Linked DNA regions of Lepisosteus oculatus. The protein of the gene in region 1 interacts with the protein of each later gene in a pairwise test. Links are inferred from orthologs where the notes say so. Each region holds a gene or a part of one and is shown in the gene's direction. Other genes may lie near its edges.

Region 1 (11,137 bases):
TCTTGGGATTTCTTCGGTACGAGAGGAGTGAATGTCTCCCTTTCTTTATCTTTGCATAAACCCTTTTGTTTCTCACTGTCACTGTCTACATGATGTGCCACACCCACGTTCTGCCTTCTTACACAAGGATGTCTACGAGGCCATGGGATGTTTCTGTCACATTATACACATATTCAACTTTTATTTGACTGATTGAACAATTATTTCCTTAGTTGAACACTAGTCCCTTGTCCAAAACATATAGGTATGACGTGTAGTACATACTGGATTTAAGCAGGGCGAATTACAAATTAAAAAAGCATACATCATGTCAACATACTACGTGCCTGTGTACCAAAAACAAAGTTCTGTATTGTTCAGGACTCACTCCACAGAATCCCAGCGGCTGTAAAAAGTTTCTAATGCCAGGGCTTTTTTCTTCTCTCATGCTGTTGCAGCCTTGATTTGCATATACCTTAATTAACATCCTCACTTCATTTCACCCCTCTGAAGCTTTTTTTTACAAAAATAGTGATGAACAAAGGTTTAGTTTTCTGCCCATCCTAGAAAAATGGTTGGATTGCAAGGGATAAAAAGATAAAACAGCATCTTAAATCTAAGTATTAAATATGTTACGTACTGTACTTGATAAATTACCTAAGATCAATTCAAATCATGATCAACTGTCCATCTGTTTAGTTGCCTGTAATGTACGGGCTGGAGGATCTCATTCAGCCATTTGTTGAAGGGTCCTAGGGGTCAGCTTTGACAGTGTGGATCTGCAGCTTATTTGACACTGATACATTTTCATACAAAGTCATCCCCCCTGTTCAAAGTCCTAAATCTTGGCTTTTACTTTATGACTGAGCAATACATAATCTATATTGTTCACCACTTTAATCTCTTCTTATGAGTGACTAGTAAGATTCACTTCGTATCATTTGTTATATATTCTGTTAAGACCCAGATTTGTTTTCTGGTTGCTCTTTTTATAAAATACTACTATCATACTGTCATACTCATTATCCATTTAGCTGGAAATTGAACATACCTTTATTGCCAAGTCATAGAATATTCTGGATACTCTGCCAAACTGGGAGTTTTCAAGATCCACATCTCCACCGGGAAGCAGTAATCTACAATAATGGAGAGTACACTTGCACTTCACACAGTTCTTATGATGTGTATATATTTTAACAGATAGAAATGGCCATCTTCAAATGTGAAAAAAAAACAAACATATGAAATAAATATTAAAAAACATACCCATTTATAGAATAGAATAACTTGGTGTATTCTTCCTTTGTGCGGTTTATTCTGTGAAATGACAATGACAATGTAAAAGCATTACAAGATTTAAACAAGCTTTGTCTTTTCTTACTTTTGCACATCTTACATCTGTTCTGAATGTCATCATCTTTAGTCCCAAATCAAATCTCAGCATACATTTTAACATGGTTTCCTAGTCATGCTCAGTTCTGCCTTAAAAACCTTACCTATGTTAATATTCAAATGTTCAAATGCTTCTCTGTTTCCTTCTCTCAAGAACAAATTGTAATTGTTAGGAATCATGGAAATCTTTAATACTCATGATTTAATTTCATGTTTTAACCTTTTAATTTGGTGACATCTAAGTTTGTGTCCTTATCCTTTATGTAGCCATAAATTTGGAATGGCACAAAAAGCATTATGAAAGTGGATTTTAGGCATTTACACTTATTGTGATATACACTATACTATTGTGAGAATGGATGGTACCCACAGACATTTATTCATTCAGAATTAGTTTGTTCTTGACAGAAAAAGAGGTTCTCCACCAAACTAAGTTGTTTTGGGCCGCTGAAATAAAACAGTCCAACACGGACATTGTCTGTAGTCATTAAACTACTCTGATGGAATCAGAATGTACTGTACAACTACCACGCAGGTATTTAACAGAGCCTGTAATTACTTAACTATACAGTTTCAGAAAACAAGACAAGAACGAACAAAGGTTATGTTGATTTAGTACAGTTAATGTTGCATGAATACGCCTGCAATTTCCCAGGAAACAGAGCAACTGGTGCTTTTTTTTTTCTTTCCTGTCTGCTCTACACTCCTGAGTGGAAAGATCTTACCTGAGTGGCACAACCCTGGCTCCAGCGGCCTCCAGATATTTCACATATGAAGCAGCAATGTAAGATGAACCCTGTGCGTGAGGGTCACTGGGAAGATTTTCTTGGGCTACGATCCCTGTAGAAGAAAAAAAAAACGTCTGAAAAGCTGACTCAAAACAATTGAAGGAGTAAGAAGTATCCGTGTTGCCAGATTGTCTGAAAGGCTCGGATGCCTGTGTTGTCACTAGAATTTTGATCATGTAGCTCTACTTCTCCCCAGGACAGAACAATATGTCATAAACATTACATGAAAAGCCTTTAGCATTGCAACGTCATCGGGAATAAATATTAAGTACGGTAATATGTTTCTGTAATACATGTAGCTATGTATTTTTATCATGAATTGGTGATTGAACAGTACTGTACCTCACAATGCCATGAATGTAGACTATATATACTGTACATAAAATGTAAAGTACAGGTTTGAGTAGGAAGCTGTTAGTATATTCATATTAATACTTATATGTGGAAGCTTCTGTAAAGAAAGCTCCATAATTTCAGTTCTTACTATGTATCATAGTGTTGATGTCCATTTCTAACTCATCTAAAAGGTTTCAAAATTTGCTATCTGTAGGCAGTCCATCTCAGTTCAGGTAACTGAATTTTCAATTGCACTCCTGAATTCTGCTGACAGCTGAACCCTTTCCAAGCACCTTTGTCTAGGAATCCAGAAACCCTCCAAGAACCTGTATTCATCCTATTATTAATTTATACCAAATAAGAGAGGCACTCAGCAGTTCTAAAAATATATGAGAAAATCATATAATCAAAACTATAATTATAAACAAGTAGAAGGGAACATGGTTTATGACTATTGCATATTCTTGAAAGTTCTGATATTGGATTCTCCAGCGTAAGGTACAGTAGGTAACGTGGTAATTCAAGCAACTTCTATCCAATAAAGCAGAATAAGACAAACTTCTCTACAATGTAAAAATCTCAGCTTCAATTAAATTGTTTATTAGCTCAGTCACTTTGGACCTATTGAAATCTCCCTGAGCACAGGAATGTCTCTGGTGATCGAAAATAAAGAAACTTCTTTATGTTGGAAAATGCATATTTCTCTGATATAATGTTCAAAACAACGTCGTAGAGTCTACCCTGGGATTTAACACTTTTTCGTTTAATTCTAACAGCTATTTTTTATTTGAACGTTTCACTAAGAATCCCTTCTTCAGTTTGCCGAAAATAACGTGCCATTTTCAACATGTCACAATAATTAAAAATGTTTCCAAATACCAGAACAAATCTTCCCACGCGTATCTGATATATAAATCCGAAATTCTATGATAAGACAAAAATACATGCAAGTGTAAAATATAAAATCTTAACATCCCAACCTTTTATCAGACAAATACTTCACGCATGGTATTACATAACGACTTGAAATTACACTGGCGGTAAAATACATACATTTTCTACAATTATAGATGAGCTCCAATTACTGTATACACCTGCGCATTTAAATGAATAAAAGGTGTGGACAATCGTTGGCTCCCTTACAAAAATAACCTTTGAGAATTTTTAAAACACTCAAAAAAAAAACGTTTAGCAAAATAGTAGCCTGAGTGATGTCACCTTACCAATGATGGGTCTGTAATTTGGAGAAAGGCTAGAAAACGCTGGAATCGGGAGATAACAGATGACACCGACCATCACCGAAAGAACAATAGCCGAAGAGCACATGATAATTTCTGAACTGAGAGTCTTTAAAAAAAACAAATAAACAACTGAAGCCCCTAATTAAATTAGGCCTGATATACAGTATATGCGTATGATATTGAACGACAAAACCGAACGACCTCACTGCGCTACCGTCTATAGCTGCTGCAAAATGCTCAGCACGCTGTCATCTGCTATTTCAAAGTAAAACTTAACCCGTTATGTCCCATTACTGTATTAACCCGTTAAGAGGCAACCTGATGTGTTGTCTTCATTGTCATTTTTTTTCTTTTTCGTTTCACTAAAAAGTTGTCTGACGGGAGGAGTCGGCAGTCTTGTGTGGACTAATCTTGCCAGCCTTCATACAAGGAACATAAGTGGTATAGACTGAAATTGTTATTTGTGAATGAGTTGCATACAGTATTTGGGTTTATTTTCCTTCTTTGTTATATCAAACAAATGCCACCTTCTATCTAAGTTTATTTGTCCCTTAGGCCAACATTGCTGGAAGTCCACAGATGAGACCACTTCTTTCATTGCTAGATGATGGCCTTCCCTAGATGATTTTATACAATATCTGCCTTCGACTTTCCACTTCCTTCTGGATTCTGCAAACTCATTATCTTTTGGTACAGTGTAGTACTGAACCTGGCCTACCATAGTTGTATCTGATTGGAGTGACAGTCATATGAGAATATTTATTGTATATAGGCTACTATGCCGTTTCATTCCTTGATAATGTCATGCAATTATATATCATGGTGTTGTAGATAAATTGTGTTTATGTGTATATCATAAAGGCAACTATGTCTATTATGTATATTGACTGCCAAAAGAAACCAATTATAACTGTAACAAATGGACAGAGGGAAATTACTTTTTTGTAGCATGCGTACTGACATTTTATTGAACAGACACATCATAGTTAAAGTCCATATAGTTTATTTTCAGAAAATAAAGTTTATTTTGATGCTTAGTACATACTTTACATAGACACTCCATGGCTCTTCTGTGGTCCTATCAGACTGCCTTACCTTGGTCATGTGTAATAGCAGTAACACACCAACAACTCCACTACATATCTGACTGAAATAAGGGGGAAATATAGGTAAACTAGATTGTGCAAGCCCAAAGCATATTTAGCAAGGTCATTGGCGTGGACATCACTACTCCTACAAACAGTAACACTGGATATTTATGGGCCATATAGTCACAACCTTTAACTGACAATTAGAAATGCCACAGTTCTACAACTCTCCAAGTAATAAATGTAAGTCTGTTTGGTCAGTAGTAAATTCAGAAGAGTTTATTTTTTAACACATGCATGACACCCCTGTAAAATTTTAAAGGTCCACATTGTGCTTCCCAGTTAAAAAATATGTTTAAATCACAAAATAGTGCAAGCTGCTTTTCACTAAACATCTCAGTGGTTGTGTTTTTTTCATAAATCCCTGAAGCAAAATTTACAGCTTGTACTGATCACTGTCAACGGAGCTAATTTACCTTGTATTTAAATTCAGCAGACTACCAGTTGATAATGTACAATATGTACAATATGAACTTGGCAATGCTTCTGTTTTTACCAGGTGTTGAATGAGAAGTTCTTATAAGATTCTTTTCAAAAGACTGGCAATGTACAGTTTATACTTTGAAATAATCAAAATTACAATATTTAAAAAGTGTGTTAATAATGCATCGCACACCTAGAGTTATGTTATACTGGTAATTAATAAAGATGAAATTACTGCTGAAAGGGGAATATTTTGTTGTAAAATAAAACTGTGAAACACTAGATATACAGTAAATTCCCAGTAAAAAAAAAGAGATTTAGTATCTGTTTGAAACTTTTTTCTAAAATATTTATCTTATCTTTGAGTACCTGTGTGAAGTTAGTTATTCCTTGCTTTTTGTTCAATGTTAGTTACAAGGGACCAGTCTGTGTTAGCAAACCTATCATTGCACTGCAGTAAAGGTGGGAAAAGAAGAGAATATTTCACCATTTATTAAACAGAGAGAAAATCTTAGGAAGGTAACATTTAGTAACACTGAATTACATTTTTAGTAAACGGAGACCACCCCACGTGTACATTCTTACAAACAATGCCATATAATCCTTAAATACAAAAAGAAAACATCCCTTGAACTGTATCAGCATCTGGAAAACGTAACAATTATAATCCCAACTGGTGAAATACAACACCACCATCTTGGTCTTTGGCATCATTTAAAAAACGGAACAAAAATGTTTAAGTGCTTTTTCGTCTTTATTTCAGCTTCGTTAGCCCCGATCTTACTCGCCTCTTTCACTACACTTATTAAAACAACTGATCGTGTCTCTACACATGTCAATAAGAGGTTCTCGCGATAAAACGCACGCTCACAAGGAATTCTGGGAAATTTGAAAGATGGCGGATGAGGTGGACCAGGTTGGGATTTTTTTTTTTACTTTACTATATATTTTTGAAATTCCTGTTTATATGTCTTGCTTGTGATCAGAGAGTGTTTTGTAATGTGATTTTGGCTTTCCGCAAAACCAGAATTCACGTCTATGTGGTGATGAGAGTCGGTAATCTGGATAATAGCCAAAACATTGCAGGAGCGGTAAAAATGAATTGAATTAGCTAGGTGTTTTTTTCTGAAATAATAAGTGGTGATATGGGATGCATATTATATAGCTTTTGGCTTTCTGTATCTTTATATGCAGAAGTGACTAAATACAATGTTCTTGTAAATCAACACAGACGTCATATTAGATTACTGAATCCTTTTAAAATTAAAAAAACAGATACTAATGTAATTTGTATGGCTTTAGTTAGAGGCTCCAGTTTACACAATTTAAACCTTAGGTTTATCTGGACAGTGCACTGTACCGAGTTTTTGTTTTCCTGTTTCAGCAACAGACTGCCAACACTGTTGAGGAGCCTTTGGATCTCATCAGGCTTAGTCTTGATGAGCGTATCTATGTGAAAATGCGCAATGACAGAGAGCTAAGAGGAAGGCTACACGTGAGTAACACCATCTCCGTTTTAAGGCCAGTAAACGGGGAATAGCGGTTATAGTGCAATCTAAAAGATGTTAGTGGCTATATTGACAATTACGTGAATGATTTGTTTTCTAAGACTTTAATTCCATTGTGATAGTACATTTGATTCCATGCTTTAGAATTGACCATTGCTTTAGACAGATAAATTATTAAGTTGTTTGATTACTAGAATCAGCAGCTTTTCATGTTTTGTAATTAAGATTAGTTAGTGTTTTTACCACTTAGCAGAATCAAAGGTAACTCTATGTAGAAGACTTAGGAATTGTTCTGAAGAACTCAGTACTAAGGTTATGTCATATTTAAAATAGAATTGAAAATGTTCTATATTGATTTCTTTCAGGCATATGATCAGCATTTAAACATGATACTGGGAGATGTTGAAGAAACAGTAACCACGGTAGAAATTGACGAAGAAACTTATGAAGAAATTTACAAAGTGAGTTTTTTTTAATTCTTTAAATAAACTATTAATATCTTCCCCCTTTTTGCCACAAAATCAAATCTTCAGTTTTCGCTCTGACTGTACCGAACCCAAGTGACAGGAATGTAATCCTCACAGTTGGAGAAACATCTTCTTGCGTTTTCTGACATCCCAGTTAGAAATGGTGAAGCTTAAAGAAGTTTCCCTTATCAATCTCTTCTTTTTTTATTTCTCTCTGACTACTCTGGTTTGCCTGTGCTGCCTTTTTCTTTAATTACTGCTTCTTACCTTTTTTTTAAATGATTGGACCATCTCACTGAATATTGGTATAGTCTACAAAATATGTTTTCTTGACATTTTTTGTGCCACATGTCCCACTACACATTAGAGTGAAAACGTGTAATTAGTGGTTTAGTTATTCGGATTGGTGTAGGCTACATCATACGTGTACAGTTCTCTGTTTAGATTTGTCAGATTGCACCTTAACATTCAACTTTCCTTGTGAGAATGTGCATTCAGTACCAAAAAATGAATAAGTGATTCCCAATTAGTTTGAAAGAATCAATAATACCAGTTGGAAGGTATGAGACCGTTAAGAACGTTAAAGATTTTACTAACCACTATTTTTCAACACATAAAAGAAACAATGTAAGATAGTTTTTTTACCGGGTGATAATATCCCCAGATGAACCCATTATATATATAATATCCCCATTATTCTAGCAGAAACTTTGATCTGCTGATTTTGTGTTTAAGTATCTTCTCAAATATAAAGTGTCTTCCTTTTCCTCAAAAAACAGAGGCACCATCTACTGTCTGCTTCTGTCGAGTGCCTGCTCATGTCTCTTTCTCAAGTAAATGTTTGTCTTAGAGTCTAAACACGTTTAATGTGTGTTGATGACTTGTTTGAGGTGCAGGGTGTGTAGAGAAAATAGCAAGCATACATTTTGCATATCTGCCCTGAAATTATAATCGGATTCAAATTTCTGCAGTCCTGTTAGGTTCAATTGATAAAAACTATAAAATAAAAATATTGCAAGTTGTGTGAAAAGAAAATGTCATTATGCAACAATTGGTTCATTCAGAAAAAATAATTCAGGCATTTTCATGTTACGTAAGTAACATTAAAAATGTGGTCATTATGCACTTTATGCCAAATTACAATTCCTTGGGTGTCAGTTAGTTAATAACCAAATTAGATAATGCAACCAGCAAATCAACTGTTGTTGTTTCCAGGTCCAAGGAAAACAGTATTTTGTTAATCCCTGTGGTCCTTCTGGTTCATGTAGTTCTTCTGGTTCTGCTTAATGTATTGGGTACCAGCAGAAGTGATTTTAATTTGAGGTTTTGCTACTATTAATGTTCTCATTTATTTGAAGATAAGAACTTGTAATGTCATTGGAAAGCACCTTGACTTCACATACAAAATATGCATAACACCAACAGACAACCTGACATTACAAAAGAACTGGAGTTTTAGGACTATTGAGCCGATTAATCCATTTTGGATTGATATTTAATGTTTACTGGTAATTGTTTACTGAATTAGATTGCATGCAATCTAATAAAATTGCTTCTGTCGTAACTGGAAATTCATGTGAACAAAATTATACATTAAGGAAAAATAGCTGAGAATATGAAAAAATCTAAAATGCTAAGCATAGACATCAACGTTTTAGCTACTGAAAGCTGTTTGGAAACCTTTGCTTCATGCTTTTTATTTCCTTTCCTCTCAATAAATATCTTGAGCATTTTGTACTTTCATTGAGACAATGTTATGCTACTGTGTAGTCTGCCTTAATAATGTATCATTAAGAAAATGTACTCTGAGGAGCTTATTCCAAACTATCTAAGCGTATTCTTGCTTTGCTACATTTGTCCAGAGTACTACTTTCCAATATCCTCCTCACTGTCTTGTATGTAGCCTTGGTCATAAATTAAGGCTGTAATCTATCAATAGTCATAACCTTAGCTAAAACTTTTTTTTATTTTTTTTTGCATCAAACTCTGGTTTAATGCAAGGAGCCATAGTATTCGTCAAAGTTAAAATTCCAAAAGTAATGCTTAAAGTGGTGTGGCTCTTTCTAATGGGTTAAATAAGCTCTTAATAATTGTAGCTCTAAATAATAATGGTTGCATGATTTACTTTATTTACTTTTTTGAAACTATTTCCAATATTACATGTAATAGATTCACATGCACATTGCAAGTTTAGTCATGTTGTTAAAAGATTGTCTTTTTTCATTCCAGTCCACAAAGAGGAACATCCCAATGCTGTTTGTTCGGGGAGATGGTGTAGTTTTGGTTGCTCCTCCACTCAGAGTTGGTTAGACTCCATGAGTTCTGAAGGAGAATGCACTTAAGATGCAACATAAGAGAGATTTTTGATTTGGACTGTTTACCAATGGAGTTACGTAATTTTATAAAGAAATCTAAGTTAAAAAGGAGACTTAGTCCAGCTCGTCAGTTTTGATGTAAAATACCTTCTTGCTAGCTTAAGAAATTTGCATTTTTTGTATTGTAACTAGAATCTGTAAAGATTTTTTTTTCTCATTAAAAAAAGAAAATAATTTGTGTGGTTTATTCAGTGACATTTGATGGTGTGGTAACCACTTGCTTTTTGAGGTCACATGGAAGGAAATTGTGCATATCCTCAGAGAAAATACATATAGATTTTCTAGGTCAATTTTGTGTGCCTCTGTATTTTTAAATTGTTGTTTTATTTCATATCTGTGCATCAATGGGTGTAGAACCTTGTCAGTTGCCATTGGTGTACAGTTTTTTGGTTTGACCAAAATGCAGGGCTACGATTGGGAGTGAAACAAATGAATAATTGTAATGATGTTTCCTTGGATGAGAACACGTAAATATGCAAAATCTCATGCATCTTCTTTCTTTAAAGGTTGTTTAAAAATGTACAGAGTATATGGAACTGGTTTTGTTTCAGAAAATCTCTGAATCTGATACCAATTTATAAATGCAATTGCAGTCTAAATGTATAAATCAAAGGAAGTCTAGTGATAATCTTCCAGATATGCTATTGTCCTCAAAAGCCAAAGCCCTGAGTATTGGTGTTAATAATGGCCTGCGATCTCAGCTGTGACTCAAGACAGCACCATGATTATAGTTGAATATGCAATGGCAAAATATATACACTTTCAAGGAAGGGTTGGCATAATTAGTTTTATATTGCTGTGCGATAGCAAGTTTCTCAAGACTGGAATTGTTCTTGAGGTCTTTAATAGATGTTCAATGTGGTCTCAGTGTTGATGGTGATTCTGTCCTGGATGTGGTCATGATAAGCTGACATCATTTTGTATGGCCTCTGCAGTTATCTGTCTAAAATATACATCCATTTGCCTGTCCTGGTGAGCAACAGGTGGTGCAAGGTAAGGTGCCAGCATGCCAGTCCATCAGAGGAAAGACTCATTTTCCAGGATGGAAAATCCTAGGAAAACTAGGAAAACGAGTAATTCCCTTACTTGCGTAGCACGAGGTGCCCATTTCCCATACATTAAGGACACAGACCATCAGGTTTTGTAAGTCTATATCTTCAGCTTCTTAAGAACATAGAATTGCTTTAACTTGTCCAATTAAGCAAATCAGTTCAATTAGGGGCTCACAAGAAAAAACAGAATCAGGGGCCTTAAGGACTGGAGTTGTGCACCCCAACTGTATTCCTGAGGGCATTTACCTGAAATCGGTCTAAAGCAAGAGGTTGAAGTGCTCGTGCTCTTTAAAATCACGTCTTTGTAAATCGTCTGCAAATGTCTACATGAAAGACCGTTGCACTTTATGGTTTGACCTTTTAATTTGATCCTCTTGTTTTTTAAATAATAATAAACTTTATTTTATATAGTGCCTTTAAAGGTGGCT
Region 2 (9,567 bases), on another chromosome or scaffold:
TAAGTGCGAGGTTTGTTTTTGTGATTTCTTTCTTAGAATATTCAATGGCAGTGGTGAAGAAGTGAAAAGCTTAGAGTTCCCTAGCGGAGGAAATTATACAAGTCCTCTGCGGGAAGGATCTTTTGACCTTTATGGTGAAAGAGTAATTAAACTGGGCACCAACATGTAAGTATCATTACTACATTTACTACTCAAATTAAAACTCAGTAATAATTAAACAGGGATGTAATAAAAATGAGCCTTGACACACCAGGCTCATTTACAGATACAGCTAGAAGAAATGAAGTGCCTGATTGCCTTTGGATGATTGATGTTTCATTCCAGCCCGCAGTGTAACATGATGTTACTTGCTAGTGGTTTTGAAAATGTTTATGCTGCATCTTGTATTACAGGTATAGTGTAAGCCGCCCTGTGGAAACACACATGTCAGGAACATCCAAAAGCTCTGTGTCGCACACCAAGGTGAGATGACAGAGCACACAGGTCCGGACCTGATGTCTTTTTCCAATGTATTTCCAGCAAATGTTAATTCAGAGGGTGTCCTAACAGAAACAGAAAGTACTTCTAACTGTGGAATGGCTGACATGCTCTTTCCAAACTTAATTTTTTGCAAATTTATTCTTGGAAATGCCCAGACATTATCAAATCAATGGAAATAAACTTGTCAAGTGTCGATCCTTTTCGTAATCTGGAATTGGCAATTGCTTGAAATTCAGATTGTGGCTATCTGTATCTACAGAATTGCCCTGATGATCTGCAGATGTACACCTTCAACACTTGAACTTGAGCCTTATTGCCAGTACTGGTACAATGGAATTCTTACTTACAGAAAGTCTCTCGATTGTTAAAAAAAAGTGCATCAAGGCAATATACAAACAAAAAGTAGACACTGTACAAGTCGACAAGTAAACAGTTCAAATGTAAACAATGACTGCAGATGTGCAATAAATAAAATTACAATGAGGTAGATGGTGTAGGTGTGGTCCGAAGGGCATGGCCAAATGTGTTCGCCAGTCGCGCTGCTTGTGGGCTTTTGAGGAATCTGGTGGTAAGTGTCCATATGCTCTTATATCTCTTGACTGAGGGCAGTGGGGTGAAGAGCTCATGTCCGGGGTGGTGACTGGCCTCTGTGATGGCCAGAATTCTACCATAGCAGCGGTCCTCATAGTGCTGTTTAATCTCTGTGAGACCACGGCCGGTGATCTTCTGGGCCACATTCACTGTTCTCTGCAGTGCTTTTCTCTCGAGAGAAGAGGTGTTGCTGTACCACACGGTGATCCCATTAATGAGGATGCTCTTGATGGTGCAGCGGTAGAAGTTCACCAACACAGGTAGTGGCATCCCCCATCGCTTGAGGCACCTCAGAAAATAGAAGTGCTGCTGAGCCTTTCTTCAAGATAATGTCCATGTTCACAGTCCAGGTTAGATCATTAGAAATGTGAATTCCCAAAAACCTAAAGCTGGTGGTTCCATCAATACTGAGTGGGCTGTGAGTCTGCGGCCTGTGTCTCCGAAACTCCACTATTAGTTATTTTGTTTTAAAAAACCTATCACTGACATTCTTTTGACATGCTACAGGCTGTACAAGCTCCACCAAGCCTAGCAAGAGAATTAGTGCTGATTGGGGGAGAGGCGTACTGATGGTAAAGGCCAATCGGAAATTTAGCCAGGACGCTGGGGTTCTGGGTAACAGCCCTACTCTTTTCGAGAAACACCCTGGGATTTTTAGTGGCCACAGAGAGTCAGGACCTTGGATTTAAGTCGAAGGACGAGGCCTTTTTACAATATAGTGTCCCCAACACTATACTGGGGCATTAGGAGCGCCCCCTACTGGTCCCACTGACACCACTTCCAGCAGCAACCTTAGTTTTTCTCCAGGGAGTCTCCCTTCTAGACTCACACCTGCTTAGTTTCAGTGAGTTATCGGTTGCAGGGTGATATGGCTGCTTTAAAGTAATTCCGGAGCTCGTCAGTAAGATAGAGTACAAATTAAAAAAGTGAAACTCCAAATGAAAGGTGAACTGCCTGTTGTTGGGAATATCTCTGTTTCTGAAACTAAAACGTTTGATCCCCCAGGAAAATGCTGCCCCTAATCCTCTTGCAAAAGAAGAGCTGAACCTGCTGGCCAGATTAATGGGAGGTCTGGAAGTCAAGAAGCCTGCAAATACTGATGGAGGGTTTCGGGTCAACTTGTTCACAACAGACGAGGAAGAAGAGTATGTTTTCTGATTTTTCTGTTTTTATAATCCCCGATCACCCAAATATATTAATTCCTTCACATTTACATTAAAAACTAAAACAAAACTTTGAGATGTCTTGAGATAGAAACTCATTTTGTATAGATGAAGGTGCAAGTTAGTATTTTGTTTATATTTTGTAACTGATGTGTGTTGGATTGTGAGAAATGTGTGTTGAATTTATATGTCTTATGAAACCACTCTGTTTTTACTATTTTACTTTTTCACAGGGAAGCTTTGATATCAAGGCCTCCAGAACTTTCATACCAGGTTATAAACATACAAGCTACAAAGGTAAGAATAGCATTTATTACACTTCAAGTTGGCTTTTTAAATTTTTTAACAACATGCAAATTGAACAGAAGTTAGAACTGGAGTCAAAACTATACTACTTTCTTATCCAAACATAAGGCCAACGCTTTGCCCTAAGACAAGCATGGGGAGAGTGAATCTGGAAAACACTGGTTAAGCAAATTCTGTTGTAAAATGGGTACTATTAATGTAGTTAACTAAAAAATCAAAGGAGTCAAAAATTAGCAGTTTTTATTGTATTACATTTCATACCCAAAAACAAGTAATCTAGAAGTAAAAGACCACAGGGAGACCAATTATGAATTGGTTTTGGAGAGAGACTTCCTGCAGTATGGTAATTCCATAGAATTAAGGCTGCAAATGTTCTTGATGTTTCATGTTCTGAGCTAAAGAAAAACAAAGTTAATCAAGATTAATCAGCCTTCTTGTTCTGTGATTGTGCTGTGGTTCCCTGTCGGTGACGATGTCTGTCAATGTCAGGACCAGCATGCGAACGCAGAGCTGGCTCGTATCATGGGGGAGTTCGCGGAAGAGCCAGGACCGGCCCAGAGCCCGGGCAGCAAGGGGGACAACCTGCTGGCCATGATGGATGGCCTGTGACATTTCCCGGAGGCTGCTGGGACAGGAAGACTAGAGGGATCTTGCAATCACCAAACTTTTATTTTCACTGTGCAGACATGACTTGCTGCTAGCCTGGTACCAAAAATGTGAAGAAGTCATTCAGACTACGAGTATAAGGGCGTTTTGTTCGTCATTTTCATAATAGGATTTTTTTTGTACTCTCGTGGGAAAGGTGACGGGGGGAGAAAGAGTAGTGTGCAGGAGTTGTAAGATGAAACCCAGCAACCATGAGCCACTTGAAACAAATATTCAGCCCCTCTCGGTGTGGTTTCCAGGAAGGGGTTGAGATGTTCCCTGATTGGATAAATCAGTTCACTTTGGGGAAGACTCCGATTCACACGGTGAGAGACGTAGGAGCGTGCCAGTTTCAGTTTAGATTGTCAAGTCTTTTGTTTATTTAAAATGGTTTCACTCAGTAGCGTAGATCAGAGTATTCTGACTAACGAGACCCGGGAAAGCCAGTCCATGAGCCCTTTTGACTGGTTTTGGTGAACATTGAAAACGAATCAGCATGTCGTGCAGCTGTATATCCAACTGCTGTGGTTCACGTCAGGGTCAGGAAAGTTTTCATGAGCTATAAAACAATAAGTAGCAACATATGTAATAAAACCAATAGAAAATAGAAACTATGGAACTTGTTATTCCGTAAAATTAACTCCATTATAAGCCTTTTCCTACTGGCGAACACATATGAATGTAAGTAATTACAAATGTAGATACTGTATTTAGAACTTTGTAAGACACTGTGCCGTCTCAACTTTGTTGCAGGCTGAATCCATCTGTACAGTTTAATAAAACTTTGCCTTCTTTTCCATCTGCTGCCGAGACCTGCTTGTTTTAGTTGGGTCTGTTGTGATTTTAAAGTATCTTCTTCATAACAGTCTTTTTGTCTTTTTTTTTTTTTTACACGGATGAGCAATCATGAAATTTCTAGTGAGGGCATTACTCAGTAGATCATGCCAGTAATGGGTAATTCTTTTTGGTGGGACCCTATTATTTTAATGTCAGGTCAGCTGTTTAACCTGTAAAGTACTTGTCTCAGTCACTGTGGTGGCTGGAAAGAAGACATTGAAGCAAGTGAATAGCTATATTGTATATTCAGTGGGTATGATATTACATTGTGAAAATTTCATATCACTGATGTAAAGAGATTTATTTTGCAAAGGGAATATATATACCTGACACCTGAAGAAGGCTTCACGGCCGAAACATTATATATATGTTGTTATTTTTTGTTGTGAACAGAAATACTATTGCTTCATAGGAACTTTATTTTTTCTACTTGATGAGATAGTATTTCTAAGATTCCTGGCAAGATTTAAGAAGTCTGTGTAAAGATGCCTCTGTATGTATACTCTCTTGTTTTCATGTCTATAGGTTTTGTTATTTCAGTGAATGTGTTGTAGAAAAGGGGAACTCAGCAAAGAACACAAGCACTTGTCTTTATCATCCAAAGGAATGGGTCCAAAATGATTTAATCGTATCTAACACTGGATTTTTAAGATTTTAAAGTTAAGTATACATCTTGGAGCTAGAAAATAAACAAGTGGAATGTGACTACTACAATGAGCAAATCTTGGACTGTTGCTCAGATATAAGAAATAGAAGATATAAGGCATTCTAAACATTTTAATGTGTCTTGTAGACTTTTATTTTTAGACTTTCATAACACAGTGAAAACATCAGTGTATCCTTCTGATGATCAAATGATTTTTATAGGGAAAAACGTTTTTTTTTCTGTTTTTTGATGAGGCCCTGAGAATACCTATGTTCTGTTTGAATCTTGTTTTAAAGAAGGTAAGTAAATCTGCTTAACTAAACAATCATTTATTACCTGTGCAATTGCTATTTATGTTTATTTCAATGACTCTACTGTGATTAGTACAGTGAGTTATTTTTTGTTAAGTTATATCGAGATGTTCAATAAACATACATTCATGACTTAATGTTCTGTTTTCGAATTGGCTTAGGATCCTAAACAGATGCTGTTTTCAGCATAACAGGTGACAAGCAATCCACTTTTCAGCACAAACTCCAAAGTATTTGCAGTAAACCACCGCTAGAGGGGGGTATGACTGCATAAATCTTTTTTCAGAGGCGTGACGTCTAATGAAGGAGCCTTCTTTGACATCATCAGTGTGCTAGAAAGACACATGCAAGGTAAATAAGTTTGGGTTTTAATTGTATAATTTCCTTGTGGGCAGATTTTATGATTCGCTTGGTTAATTGGCGCAGGGCGACTTCGAGAACGACGTAATGCAGTAGTGAAACTAGTTTGAAAATAGAACTGCAAATACTATATAACCGAGATGATTAGACTGTTGAAGTAAACTTACTGAACTAGGTCAAGCAATCATTTCCGCGACCTCGTGAATGTTTCAAGGCATTTTGCAAAGCATATTTTTACGTTTTAAAAATGAAAACGTGCATGTGTTTGGGTTTTTTTGTCTGTCAATGATAACCAAAACCCGCGTCCCGATATTCAAATTTTAAGACGTTCGAGTAGCATGCGCAGGCTGCAAAGGGAACAGGTAAAGGTTTATTCCACGCTGAAAAGAAGAAGACTCCACAGCCCGAAACGTTGCGTCTCTCTTCTTTTCAGCATGGAATAAAGCCATACAAGCTACTAAGGTAAAAAAAAAAACCTGTTCCTGTGCATTCAAATTGTAAGCATGGTGTTTTAAAGAACCTTTGACTCAAGTGATCTCCTGAACTAGTTTGCTCCTGGCTTACTACCAGTAGAGACATTTAATATGCAGCACGCACATCACTTTATTGGTACAGTTTAAACTGCGTTTCTTTAGGATTCTCCGGGGGTGGGGGGGGGATACTTCTGCCCTCCTTTAAAAAAAAAACCTGTCACTCGTTCGTACAGAGCACGATGGCGGTGTCCCATTCGATCAGGGAGCGCACCATCGCCGAGAACAGCCTGGTGGTCCTGCTGCAGGGGCTGCACGGCTGCGTCACCACGGTGGACCTCCGGGACGAGAGCGTGGTCCGGGGCCGCGTGGTCAACGTGGACGCGTTCATGAACGTCCGCCTGGAGGAGGTCGTGTACAAGGACCGACGGGGCGGCCTGCGGCGGCTGGACGACTTCTTCGTCACGGGGCGGAATGTCCGGTACGTCCACCTGCCGGACGAAGTGAACATCATGAAGACTATCGAGCAGCAGCTGGAGAAAATCCACCGGGTCAGGAACTTCGGTGGGGACCGGGGAGGGAGAAAGGAGTACCTGAAGAAGACTCAAACGTGACGGGCCGCGACCGAGTCTCGCAACACACTCGTTTTGCCTGGCAAACGCTCAACAGGTGAAACTACCCTGTCGAGGCTGCTGGGATTTCCTGGTCATGTGTTAAAATATCTGTATGAAATGTGATTTTCTTTATAAACCGTGACAGAAGCTATTGTGGTTTTGGATTTGGAGGCCATGCACTGCTGTACAAATGATCTTGTCCTTGTTTTTAAACGCCGTGACCGAGGTTGACGACAACGTGCGGCAGACTGCCTTTTAAGAAGGGCTATGTAGGGTGTCAAGGATATGTTTCGAATTCTGTAAATAAAACACCAAACTATTTTCATATGAAATCCGGAAAGTAAACGCTGAAAGTAAACGCTTGATTTTTTAATGCATTTTTAGGAGACGTTTCTTGCAATAAAACTATATAAAAAGTTGGATGTTGTGGGTAAAAATCAGCAAGGAAATGTCTGCCTTTTTTGCACAAAAAGATTACGAAAGTGTGTTTTGAAGACCCAGAAACTGTGTGAAAATTACAGCTTTTTGCAGGGTTTGCCTACTTTGGAATTAATCCTCCCTCGGAATTGATGACATTTGATTTAATAAAAAATCTTCTTCTTTTCTTGGTTTTATTTTATATCACAAAAAAACGGCTTAATTTAAAATAAGGAAGGAAACAACACCTTGCTGTGTTTCTGAAGGGAGGAGATAAGCTGGGTTTCAGATGCAGTCAAAGCTGTAGTGAGGTAAACACTTTCTTGCTTTGATAAAGCTCACTTGCTTTTCAGATCCGGTGATTGAGTTTGTCATCTTGTCCTACTCCTACACTGTCTTTCCCCTCCCACACCCTGAAACTCAGGCTGCTTAAATGGCTCATTAGGTACAGTGTCTTTGGTTCTGTGTAGCAATACCAAAACCCCCAAATCGATCAGAGATGTTGTGGGCGTCTGATAGACACCCACTGCTAACTAGGTTAGGCTTTTAGTACTTCCAGTAAAAAGGGTGATAATGCAGTATCATCATAAAAAAATATACAGATGTATAACATATAAACTCATTTCTACCAAGAAGAAATGCATTGAAATGTCAGAATATCTAAAGCCTTGCACAAATGTATCACATATGAATTGTTTGTATTTCTTATAAATTGTATTTATTATAAATATCCTGCTGTGTAAAATTTGATATTTTTACTTTTGGAACTTATTTGGAACACTGATGATGCCAGTGTGTATGAGAGTACAGTACAGAGATTTGAACCTGTGAGTGTGGCACACTTTTGTCAAATCAAAGCTCATTCAAAAAGACCAGCTTCTTTTTAAGAGTCGGAGGAATCTCAGGAGTTCCACACATGGAAAATACCGGAGGTGAATGAGCTGTGACCCGAGCCACTTTCTGTGCAATGTTTAAGGACAGCCAAAGCAGTCCTCATCTGATCTGCACGGCTGTTTGGAATACATACAAAGTTGTGCAATGGTAGCGACAACTCTGCACACATTTTAGTGCTTATCAACAGGAAGCATTAAAGCAGACAAATACGATATGCTATGATCCTGTTGACGAAATAGCAGAGACTTAAACAATCTGCTTCTTTTTCCACGTTTGTCTGTTTCATAATCGTAGCAATGTGCACGCACAGAGAGTAAAGATTCCTGATTAAGTGAGTGGTCTTAAATTTACTGTAAATTGAGAGATAAAAAGTAAAACACCATGGATTTTAGGTTAATACCATATGTTCATTTTTAATTTAAGTGAAGAATGATCATTTCTGCTTCAGGGATGTACACCCTAAAATTATATCATCCTGGAAGATACTGTAAGACAATGTTTTCAAGTATTGTGTTCAGGTGAGTTGCCATTTTGTTAGTTTTAAAGATTAAATTACAGTTATCAAAGTTGTTTTAACATTTTTATTTTTACAGTTCTACAAGTTGTAGAAGAGAACTAGGATGTCTCTCCTTTCTTAGTACCCAACATTATACTTTACATTAGGAGGGTCATCATTAGGGGGTCATCACTTTAAAAAGTTTGAAAACCTTACAAATACATCATGTACCTCACAAATACATCTAATGCGAGCCTTCTAAATATTAATTTTGGACAGTAGGTAACATTACTGCAGCAATTTCAGGGAGGCAGGACACCAAAAAAGTAGCAGGATGTTGAACGTTCTGTAGGTTGCGTACTTTGGAAGCTCTCTTGCTAACTCTTATTGTCTTTGGTGTTCAAACTCAGGCAGCTATAGAGATATAGTGTACAGAACATAACATCTAAACAATTATTCACCATTGCTCAGTTTCTATCAGACCGTTTGACCCCTTGTTTATGCATGCCTTCCAGTGCAAACATGAGTGTCTCGTATCGCTGTGGTTTCCAGAATGGCAAAGCACCAAAGTACATTGTACACATGGACGTAAACCTCTTTTTTTTCCAGGAAGCGCACAGTCCGGATCTCAACTACTGAGTCATGTAAACAAATGATAGCGCACCTTGTCACTGACTAAGAGCAATAAACAACAAAAACAATAAAGCCTTGAGCTATAAAACATGATATACAGTAACTGGCTGCCATCTTTTGGACTGGATTTCAGACAGTCTTGCATGCCAAGTAGGGATGCATCTCAAGGCAGTCAAACAGACGTTGACAGGTGCTTCACCAAGGCGCTCCTAACAAATCGCAAGAAAGTGTTTGGAGCAGAAAGCCCATTAGGAGTGGTTGAACACAGGAGACGGTTCCTAGTCCTTCTCCAACCACAGACTGTTTTTGGCCCTTGGCGCTTTCCCACCCACTCAGAAAACAGTGAAGTCCTGCCATTAATGGAATGTTTCCATGACAACGATGCACACTTACCTGGGTTATTTGAGTGCAGTCTGCCATCACGTAAAAGAGAAACTGAGGCGTCTGAGCTTGACTCAGCCCCTGATTCCCCTGCCAAGCCACGAAAATATTGCATACCACACAGTCAAAACATGCCAGGGCATCACACACAGCGTGGGAGTGGGCATGGCGTTGGGGGCTGCAGCTGGGAAGGGGCTTCTCAGTCTAGACTGTTCAACTTTGCTCCGTTTTCCTTGCTATCAAGGGAATCTCCTGGACCTCTCAATAGCGGTAGACATTGTGGTTCTGATTGTCAAGGAAAAATATTGGAATCAGATGGCCAT
Region 3 (10,502 bases), on another chromosome or scaffold:
TGATTTTTTATCTTTTTGAAGAAGTCTGAATTTATTAATTACCTTGTTTATTCCCTTCTTATATCAGTACAGTCCTAATTACTTTTGTGCATTTTTACAGTATCAGCCAAGGCAGTTTATTTTAATGCTTAAAATGCCAAACTTTTAGACAAGTAAGGGACATCTTTGAGAATCCACATTAATTGCATTTGGAATAAAATACATGTATGCTAAAAAATGTAATGATGAAAACTATTTTTGTTTTACACACTTGGGTATCAAGTTAGATCTCCCTTGAACTATATGTACATGTTGAATTGTCCCTAAACATTTACCTTCGTCTTGCAATATTGCTTTCTTTTTATGCATTTTAAATCTTCAGTGCATCTTGGTAATTGTTAATGAAATCCATAAGCATAAAAAGTGCTCTGGATTAGATTTAGCCATAAAATGTGTTTTGAGAAATCACTACTGTTTTTTTGCTTTTAAAAAACTGTCATTAAGCTGTTTTCTTAGACATTTGCGATATTATTTTGGAACTTGCTTATTGTCTAACACCCCTTCCCTGTAATATACTTCCTATTTGTTCACACTGTTTCTTTTATTTAACCATGCTTTTGTTCTTTATCATATATATATATTTAATTTTTCATTGTCTGACAATCCTCTGTTGAGATACCAGTTTCATCAGTTCATTGACAATACTTACCTGACATAATGTAGGTACTTCGATGTATATGATGGGGAGTTTCACTTTTCCTTATTCTAAAGTACAGAGAATGGACCAATAGCAATGACATGGCATTCTCAAGATATTTCTCCATCTTGCAGGAGAAAATATCTCATAATGTTTCTGTGTTAGTTTGAAGCACAGTTTGCTGCCACTAGTCAAGGAGCTATAGAAGCTCACATTGATTTCCTAAAGCATAAAGAAGTGTATTATCATAGTTTTTCTCAGTGGCATGAATCCCAGCTTTGACTGGTACTAGAGAAAAACCACAATCACTTCAGACACTTCTCGGTGTTCAAAATTCTGGTCATTGGGCATTCCTGCAAACTTCTAGAAAAGTACTACACACCTTTCTGCAGTGAGCAGCAGCAGCCAAATCCTGCTCCACTGTTCTGGCCAGATAAATATTTCATATTGAAACGACACATTGTTTTAGAGGAGGAGCCGAAAGATTTTTTTCACCACTTGCCCCTTTGTAGCCCCCAGATGTTGGATTTGAAATCTTGCGCTTTTCGCAAAACGTTTTGTGGCCTACTTTAGCCATTTAGATTTCAGATGTGATGGAGTGGTTAAGAGGGATCAACTTCCAATTCACAACACTGAAAATGGTCTTGTACCATTAGCAGGTGCCTTGGCAGAACTCGTAGAAAACAATATTACAAGTAGTCTTTGTCAAAGACTTTCCATTCTTGGTTTTAGGTGGTACTGAAGAAGTGTATTATTTTAAGGTGGCTGGATTTTATTTCCCATCAATGCAGATTTGTTTTTTTTTTTGTTTATATTGCAACAGTCTTGTTATACTAAATATTTTCAATTATTGTATCAATTCCAATTGTATGTTGGAACATTTCTGAAACAGGGTCACACACCCACCTTCTCCTGTCACTGGTCTTGCCTAGAGTAAGAGCAGTGCCGTGCAGTATCAATTTCGGCTTCAGATGTGCTGTAAACATTTTTCGTTACGTTGCCTGTTACCCGTGGTTTCTTTAGAAATTATGATCCCTTAAGTAAATGGAGCACCCTTCTTGTCTCGGTTGAGTTCTCATTTTAAAGGAGTTCTGATGCAAAAGGTCTCGGTGTTCCTCAGCCTGTTACAGAAGGCGATGCCACCCTCTTGGAACTCCAGTGGCAGGTGACCTGGTTCTTAAACTTGGCAGACGTCAGCCCTGTCGCGGGTGGGACGCTGGGTAGCTTTGAAACCATAGTTAGCGTGATTGAATACCTGGAGGGGGCCCAAGATGCACTCATCACCCTGATACCCTGCAGACTTCATTCAGTTTAAGTGTACAGTCTCAAAAATGGCATAACCCTTTTTCTTTGAGAAAAGAAAAAAAAAGATATCTATCTCTTAATTGTGTGTATATTTGTAGTTTATGCTGTAACATATTTAGAAGCTTTTTTTATAATGAAAAGGTATATAAAGCAATTCTTTACAATTGCTACTGTTTATAATTTTTTGTAGCGGGTTGTGATATTTTGCACAACTTTTGTAATGTAAAAAGTTTCAGCATGGTGTTTGATTTCATCCTGCAGACAGTAGTAGTCTTTTTGCTTGAGGGTTCGAGTTTAAACCCACAGACCTGCACCCTTTTCCCTAACTTGTATCCAGCAACATCTCATTTCTTGGTACCGAACTGTGTAGATAATACTAAACCAAGTTACACAGAATTTGTAGTGATGAAGAATATCTGAGTGCAAAGATTAAACATACTCTGTTGTATGTCTGGGATGTATCATTTTGTGTTTTGACAGATGTACGAGACATGTTCCAAGTGACTGAAGACAAAAGCGACTGCTTAGACAAAAATGATCTTAAGTAGTGTGCTTGTTACATGTTTTCTGAGTAACTACAGCAATTTACCAAGAGATATTTTGTAAACTATATAGTATGTCTTGCGCTTACTATACATTTTGTTAGTAATAAAAGGAAAATTGATTTTTTTTTAAAATATCTCAACCTTACCATTAATTTGTTTAGGAACAAGTAATAGGTTTATTCCATGCTGAAAAAAAGAAGAAAGAAAACAACTTTTCGGCCGTAGAACCTTCTTGAAGTTTTCTTTCTTCTTTTTTTCAGCATGGAATAAACCTATTACTTTTTCCTTTGCAGCCTACGCATGCTGACGCAGCTACCTACCTGAATTAATTTGTTTACCCTCGTTTTAGCATTTGAACATAGTGCCCGGTCATATTTAGGCTTTGCATTCTCATGTCCATCAAAGCCTTTTGCAAGGGACTTGCCTTCTGCTGGAGAAAAATATTTGAGAAAATACTGAATTATCAGGAGTGAGAAAGATGTACATGCAGTTTCTCCAACATACTGTTTTTGATACTTTAAATTGAGTCCATGTTGTGTGCTCTCAAGATTTTAAATAGGTCTTCTGTTGCTTTAATTCCACAATTATTGTTGGTCTAAATAAAATAATGGAAAATCAGTGCCAATATTTTTAAGTGTTTAGTGTTGTCTCACTACAGTCTGGTCAAATATTTGTGTATAAGCTAGGCCATTGGCCGTAGATGTTAGCTCCAGGCCTTAGTCTGTGTAACATTTTTTCTTTGTTTTCTTTCAGAGCGTTTTGTTAAACCTGCTGTAATTTCTTTCGTATAAATAAAACTTGTAAATTTGTCATAAAAAGCTTCATCCTGTCTGCCTTAACTAGTTTCCTATATTACAGCAAAATTCCCAGTGTAGGTTTTTATTTTTGTCTTAAGCCAGCAGCCATATCACCCTGCAACTCACAATTGGCAACCCACTGAAGCTCAGCAGGTGTGAGCCTGGTCAGTACCTGGATAGGAGACCACCTGGGAAAAACTAAGGTTTCTGCTGGAAGAGGTGTTAGTGGGGCCAGCAGGGGGCGATCACCCTGTGGTCCATGTGGGTCCTAATGCCCCAGTGTAGTGATGGGGACACTATACTGTAAACAGGTGCCGTCTTTCGGATGAGACGTAAAACCAAGGTCCTGACTCTCTGGTCATTAAAAAATCCCAGGGTGTTTCTCGAAAAGTGTAGGGGTGTAACAACCTGGCCAAATTTCCCATTGGCCCTTACTAATCATGGCCTCCTAATAATCCCCATCTATGAATTGGCTACATTACTCTGCTCTCATCCTCACTGATAGCTGATGTGTGGTGAGTGTTCTGGCACACTATGGCTGCCGTCGCATCATCCAGGTGGATGCTGCACATTGGTGGTGGTGGAGGGGAGTCCCCATTACCTGTAAAGTGCTTTGAGTGGAGTGTCCAGAAAAGCGCTACATAAGTGTAAGCAATTATTATTATTATAAGACTGTACTGGTTCTGCACTTTAAGTATCTTCAATGAATGTGTATGTGAATTTTACTGCCAGATAGTAAAATCAGAGGGCAGTGTCTTTGCTGTTAACAATAGATGCTATAAGCGTTTTCAGCCACTTCTTTTCGAGCATTAAAAAGACATTTTAAAGTAGCTTTATGTGTCATTTAAGTAACGCTTGGAATCGAGGACGGTAGAATCAAGTTCACAAAGTATGAAAACAGCAGCTTTATAATGATGAAATCGAAAATACAAAGGCGTACTGTATCTGCCTCTGCCAATTGCTTTATTATATATTTTCCATTGTGTAGGAAGTCAACATCGGAAGATTCACATCCAATTACTTTACCGTTACAAACCCGGTGGATGTCATAAGAGAAGTATTAAATCTAGACTTCAATCTGTTTCGGGTAGCGATGTTTATTGAATTTTACGTCTGTGGGAAATATACGATCTCTTAAAAAATAAATCACTCTGGTGAGCTCAAACCTACAGTATGTCTGTTTACAAAGCTGATTCAAAATCCCCAAGTATTCAATTTTTGCGGTATTTTGTTATTACGGTTTTTTTTTGCGATAATCCATTCATACAGCAATAGCAATTTCTACAACTGGTACCCTTTCATCATTCTGTCATCACCAAGATTTTTAAAAACAAGGTAATGTTGTACTCGATTCTGTCACAATTTCCTTGTTAAAACAATTTTGGGGCGGTGGTAAACATACAGTTCGTAAACATACCACCATGATACAAAGAGAGTATCACCATGATATAGCGGCAGTGTTTGGTGCAATTGCGTTTTAAAAAGCAATTTAACCAGAGTTCTGCACTCTCGTTTAGAAATCTAGAAAGATCATATGAACTACAGCACCGTGCTTATTTATATAAATGGAATTTAATAATAAAATTGTGACTTAATCTCCACCAGTCACTGAGCTTCGTGTTCTAAATGTATCTTTATTATGACCTCTAAAGCACACAAAAGTTAATTAACCTAAGAACCTTTAGCCTTAACCAGTTGTCATCTTTGCGACAATGGGCTCTGTACCCAAATCGCAGTTTCCTACAAATTGTGTGTTAGCAGAGCTGTTATCTGAAGTCTAACCTGCACATAAGCCGTCACATCCGTGAAGATGACTATGAAATACACTTAATCAACTGCGATCTACTGCTTTCAGACTCACCTTGGTTTTATTTTTTATAAACAGTTTAGGCAATACCAAATTCGTGTTAATCACTTTGAGGAGAGATCTAAAAAGATGTAAGAAATACATGTTCAAGATATGTCTGTATCACCAATGCTCCAATACTTGATATTAATCAACCATCATTGTTATCAGTAACGATGAAGATGGCTAAGGTCTTCAATTGTGCAACTAAACTCCAGTCCTGTAGATGGCGCTATTAAATAATCGTACCGTTCTTTGGCGCTGTGCTCACGTCTTTGACTTCAGGGCAAGCTTGCCCATATGTTTGGCGGGGGATAGCTTCAGAGGAAGAGAAGCAGCCTAGAGAAGCATGGGGTTTGTTTTCCACTGAGCGACTGCGGGAGTGAGGCGACTTTTACGGAGAAACAAACAGACCAGGACTGTACCCTTTTGCTCCAGCCTTTCGTTATAAATACAGCCGTGCGAGTGAAAACTGAATCGCAGTTTTTATTTTTATTTTTTTTTTGCCCTCTGCTTGATCGGATTTCTCGCTGTCGTTTGCGGTTTAGGCCGGCTTTTCTCGGCGATCTGCGGGGCTGTTTCTGTGTCGTTGTTTTTTAACGGGGGGTCAGGCGCGGCACTTTTCCTTAAGACGATGGTTTTGCTGAAAAACGTCTCCCCTCCCAGTGAAGGCGTCAGGCACCAGCAGGCTGAAACGACGGCAGTGCTGGATGGCAAGGGGCTGGGCTCTGGCACCCTCTACGTTGCAGAAAAGTAAGTGCGCTATCACACGGGTTAGGACTGGTCAACTGAAAACTCTTTTTCGCCTGCCCCTTTGATGTGTGTAAAAAGCGAAAGAGAAACCTGTTTAGGGTGGGAAAAAAAGTTCTTGCCTCATCTCACCCTGCTTCTCCAGATGATCAACAGGTATCTGAGGGGGAAAGGCGACACTGCCCGGTGTGCGATGTCAAACACGTGACAGCGCGCTACACCTGTGATGGCCAAGCACCCCTCGCCAGAAGGAAAACCCCCAACTCTTTCCGATGCGTCGTTTTGTACGATCGTCCTCTCCGATTGTGCCAGCAGTAAAAATGCATCATCAGCAGATGCCAAAAAAACTTTCTCCGGAGTCTTTCTGGAAAAAAAAAACAACATTTGCGAGTCCGCAGACAAAGATCGCGTCATCGTGGTTTTGCCTGTGATTTCGGACTACTCCTATGCAGTTGGCGCGATTGAGACGTTGGGGGTGTAGGGAGTGACTCGCGTGTGCACCCACCTAATCCGCCACCGTCTTTCTTTTCGTGTGTTTTGTGACAGCCGCCTGTCGTGGTTTGACGTGTCGGGAAAGGGCTTCTCTCTGGAATACCCCTCCATCAGCCTCCACGCCATCTCCCGCGATCTCAGCGCCTATCCCCAGGAGCATCTGTACGTCATGGTCAACGCCAAGCTGAGCGGTGAGGCGGCGTGCTGTTGATGAATGATGACGGGACAGCTGACACTAAGAAAAAAAATCTTTAGAAAGGGACGATCGACTGGCAATCGTAAGGATTACAGTTGAAGTTGGGGGCTGGAATAAAGTAGTTTAGTGATTTGCTCCGATTTGAACAGTTATGAGGAGGAAAAACGCTCCCTCTTGAGAATACATTGGATTCAATAAACCTATTTCTCCAGGCCCATCAATATTCTACATAGTGTAAAAAAAATACAGTACAGCCTTGTCCTGCCCAGCAAGCACATGAAGGGCTAAAGTGTGCCTGTTCGGTTCTGGATAACATACTCGTGCATTCATTGCGGCTGAACTAAATTGGCACCAGCATGGCACTCTTTTTTGTAACTACCTGAAAACGGTTTGAAGGGAAGATCGGGGAATAAACCCTGTGCAGTAAAGGAAAAGAGTTGTGGTCTTTCATGCCACCTCAAATGCTGATTATTGACTGAACAGGCTTTTGAATATGCAGGCGAGTCCAGCCTTGATGGCCATATCGCAGGTAGATATGTGGAGCTGTGGAGGCATCGCAATACAGCAGTGGGTGGCTTGGGCGGCTGCGTTTATTATTCTGTGCTCGTCAATGCTGCCTTGCACTCTGCTGTAGAGTTATTCTCCTGGTGTTCCAAGCATGAGAGAAGCAAAGAGACCGTTCTTTCTTCCCTTAGGGTCGTACAGTCTCAAGCTGTCTTGAACAGCCCCGCACAGATTTCCACCCCGTTCTATAGCCCTCTGCTGAAATAAAAGCGCATTGTTACTCCCAGGGACTCCTGCCAGTCCCCACTGCAGAAAGACATTTAAATAAGCCTGGAAGCTGCTGAGCACAGATAAGTAGCACCCAGCTATAACATAAAATTAAAATGAATGTGATGCTACATTTTAGACAGCTGGTATTGTACTTTGTGTTTGCTGCCATAAAGTGCCGATGTTTATTTTGGTGTAGCTGGAAAAGATTTGTTTAGGAACTAGCAAATGCCTAGTCTGGTTACTTCCACAAGGATACAGGAGATTACCACTAGGAAATCTGAAGAAACTTCGCTTTTCTCTTTTTGACTGGATATTATTTCACTCTTAGTTTATTTAAATGAAAGCAGGACTTCTTTGTATTCAAATATAAAGAACTTACAAAAGCTTCACATTGACTTTGCACTATCTTTGGGTACCTACTAGCAACAATCAGCAGGATGTTACCTCAGTGAACAGCGAAGCAGTGCCATAAATCATAAGGCCTTGTACATACCTTCCACTGAGGGGCACAGACTGGCAAGGGCTCTCTCTAAAGCCTGCTACATGAGCCTTTTACAAGCTACAGTAACAGTGCCTTTCATCTAAATCCAGCCCCAGCCCCCACTTTTGGCTTAATGCCATCTCTGCCATGTTGGTGTTCACTTGGTCAAACCCATTGAAGTTAACATGAATTATACTGGATCACGGGCCAGGAAGTTTGTTTCTTTTTTGCTTGTTTGGCCTGTTAGCTGTGCATCTATGGTGGTGGAATCTGAGCTGTGCAAAGCCGGTCTCCCAGAAACAAGAGTCCCAGTAGTCTGAGAGGCTTGCCTGCGGTACTGTTCTGTGAAAGTTCTTAAAGTGACGCTTCCCTTTCCAGGCACTGGAGAACGGCACTCCTTAAACCAAGTTTTAATTTTACCTGAACCATTTGGAAGGACAGACGGACCAAAATGATCATGCTCTAGGCTCTCTGCGCAGTGCAAGCCAGCAAGTACAATTAGACCCCTTTGGCTCTCTCTCTGTAGAGGAAGCATGGCCCTGGCTTGATTTTCTCATCCCTTTCTAGATGAAGAGGTGACAGAATCTCAGATGGAGGAGAAAGCAGCTGAAGGAGAGGATGAGGACGATGAGAGCGATGACGACTCGGACCCCATCACAGAAATCCGATTTGTTCCCAGTGATAAGATGGCGTGTGAGTTTGGAAAAATCTTCCCTTCTGTGCTGTGCCGGGTGCTCAACCTGTCAGTACGTATGATAGCCTACGTAGTTGTCAGTGTTTGTAATTTGTTTTTTGGGGGGTAAAAAGTTTTTGTGTTTTTCCCTGAGCAGATTAATTTGTGTATAGTCCCAGCTGGTGTGCTTTATAACTTTAGTTTACAGTAAACGGCAAATACCATGTAACTGTTAGACTATGGAAGGAGTTTTTGAAGGATTTACGATTGAGTAAACAGGGTGAAAGGTGTACAGGGTAGGATGCTTTAACAAAGATGAGAAAAGCTAATATATATGCTGAAAAGCTAATATTTACACTGAAGACTAAGGTGGTAGGGAAAAAAATGCTGAGGAAAATAGTCAGAAGGTTGAAACTAGAGGTGGTGATGCGTTTGTAGAGGCCTGTGGGAAACTGCATGAATAGGGTTCTGGAACGGTCCTGAAAGAGAATCCTGGCAAGATTGTGGAAGACACCCTGAGAGCGAAGCCTATTCTCTGTGTTGCAGTGGAGCCCATGTTCTCTGCCATGTGTGAGTGCCAGGCACTGCACCCTGACCCTGAGGACTCTGACTCCGATGATGAGTTTGAAGGAGAGGAATACGATGTGGAGGAAGCTGGTGAGTTATAGGGCCTGGAGGACAAACTCCTGTAAAACCTTGTTTCAATTTTAAAGTGAATGGCTGTCATTTTTTAGACTGGGGTGCGGTGGCTCTGTGGCTAAGGATCTGCGCCGGTGGCTGGAAGGTTGCCGGTTCAAATCCTGCAGCTATCAGAGGAATCCTACTCCGTTGGGCCCCTGAGCAAGGCCCTTAACCCCAGCTGCTCCAGGGGTGCTGTACAATAGCTGACCCTGCGCTCTGACCCCAGGCTTCTCTCCCTGTCTGTGTGTCTGTGTCTCACGGAGAGCAAGCTGGGGTATGCGAAAAGAAAACTTCCTAATAATTGTATAGGGCTAATAAAGTGATGTTATGTTATAAATTCCACACCTCAGATTCCATATTTGAAATCGGGAGTTTTCCCATTCTTCTTAAACCAGCCCTTGATGAGTCAGCGGCAATGTTTGTTTGATTTGCATTTGTTTGTAGGTTTTAAAAATTTTGGGGGGTTTTATAACGGGGAACTGCAGTCCCAATTTCTCAGACCGGTTATTCAATCTAATTAACAAAATAAATGGACGAAAAATTGTACAAATTTTGAATTGAGCACCAAATTGCGAACTTCTGTGAAACTACTGCAAGTGGCCTGTGGCTGCAAACTCGCATCCGAGTTCCCACGAATTACGATGTGATGCGGCACTTCCTGCTCACTAGTCTCCACAATGAGTAATGTAATGCGATGTACAAGCAAATAGGTACAGGTTGTGCAGCCGACATTTCACCACAGAAATGTTCCAACGTGATATGCATAATTAAATAAGTAGTACTTGTTGGCAAAACTGTCTCAAAATCGAGAGCAGTATTTCTATCGGGTTAAAAGAGATATATTCACAAACATACTTGTTTACAATGTCATTGGGCCGCTTCACCTCGCCGGAAGTTTTATTGCCTTTCGTTGAATCGCAGAGCATGGTGCTACGCATATTTAATCTGTTTTGTGATATAAATGGGAGGTTTGCCACGTTACTCTGTACATGTTACTAATCAGAGCTAATTCTTTTTAACCCCAACATATAAAAATAGCATTGCAGTTCCCCTTTAAGTGATACCCTTCAAGAATACGGTCCTTCAAGACCAAGACGGGCTGAAAATCCCCACTTTGGAATTCCTTCCGGGTGGAAAGAAGTCAGCAGCCTGTTGCCTTCTGCCTGTGTGCCAAGTAAAGGATTCAAAACTCCATGGTGCTCCTGAAGGTCACCTGCTGCTGTGTATTCCCCGCAGAACAAGGCCAAGGGGACCTGCCCACTTTCTACACGTACGATGAGGGCCTG

The links. The genes of interacting proteins can lie anywhere in the genome.
Region 2: the proteins of lsm3 (region 1) and U7 snRNA-associated Sm-like protein LSm10 interact in binary tests that used the Homo sapiens proteins (3 or more experiments, as listed by UniProt). The link is inferred for Lepisosteus oculatus from reciprocal best matches to the Homo sapiens genes LSM3 and LSM10.
Region 3: the proteins of lsm3 (region 1) and clns1a interact in binary tests that used the Homo sapiens proteins (3 or more experiments, as listed by UniProt). The link is inferred for Lepisosteus oculatus from reciprocal best matches to the Homo sapiens genes LSM3 and CLNS1A.

What each region holds. Positions count from the first base shown.
Region 1 is NC_090699.1:59,412,163-59,423,299, reverse strand, and holds lsm3 (U6 snRNA-associated Sm-like protein LSm3), read left to right. Parts: upstream 1-6,145; 5' UTR 6,146-6,202; coding exon 6,203-6,223; intron 6,224-6,691; coding exon 6,692-6,802; intron 6,803-7,180; coding exon 7,181-7,276; intron 7,277-9,511; coding exon 9,512-9,592; 3' UTR 9,593-9,831; downstream 9,832-11,137. Other genes in the region: gamma-glutamyl hydrolase, read right to left, coding at 1,031-1,115, 1,246-1,296, 2,097-2,211, 3,719-3,821. UniProt on the Homo sapiens protein: Plays a role in pre-mRNA splicing as component of the U4/U6-U5 tri-snRNP complex that is involved in spliceosome assembly, and as component of the precatalytic spliceosome (spliceosome B complex).
Region 2 is NC_090706.1:4,890,555-4,900,121, reverse strand, and holds U7 snRNA-associated Sm-like protein LSm10, read left to right. Parts: upstream 1-5,149; 5' UTR 5,150-5,330; intron 5,331-5,402; exon of another isoform or gene 5,403-5,423; intron 5,424-6,045; 5' UTR 6,046-6,051; coding exon 6,052-6,423; 3' UTR 6,424-7,027; downstream 7,028-9,567. Other genes in the region: oscp1b (protein OSCP1), read left to right, coding at 37-165, 393-462, 2,077-2,216, 2,468-2,531, 3,030-3,149. UniProt on the Homo sapiens protein: Appears to function in the U7 snRNP complex that is involved in histone 3'-end processing. Increases U7 snRNA levels but not histone 3'-end pre-mRNA processing activity, when overexpressed. Required for cell cycle progression from G1 to S phases.
Region 3 is NC_090700.1:9,905,974-9,916,475, forward strand, and holds the start of clns1a (methylosome subunit pICln), read left to right. Parts: upstream 1-5,462; 5' UTR 5,463-5,803; coding exon 5,804-5,922; intron 5,923-6,465; coding exon 6,466-6,602; intron 6,603-8,429; coding exon 8,430-8,555; intron 8,556-9,081; coding exon 9,082-9,192; intron 9,193-10,452; coding exon 10,453-10,502. UniProt on the Homo sapiens protein: Involved in both the assembly of spliceosomal snRNPs and the methylation of Sm proteins.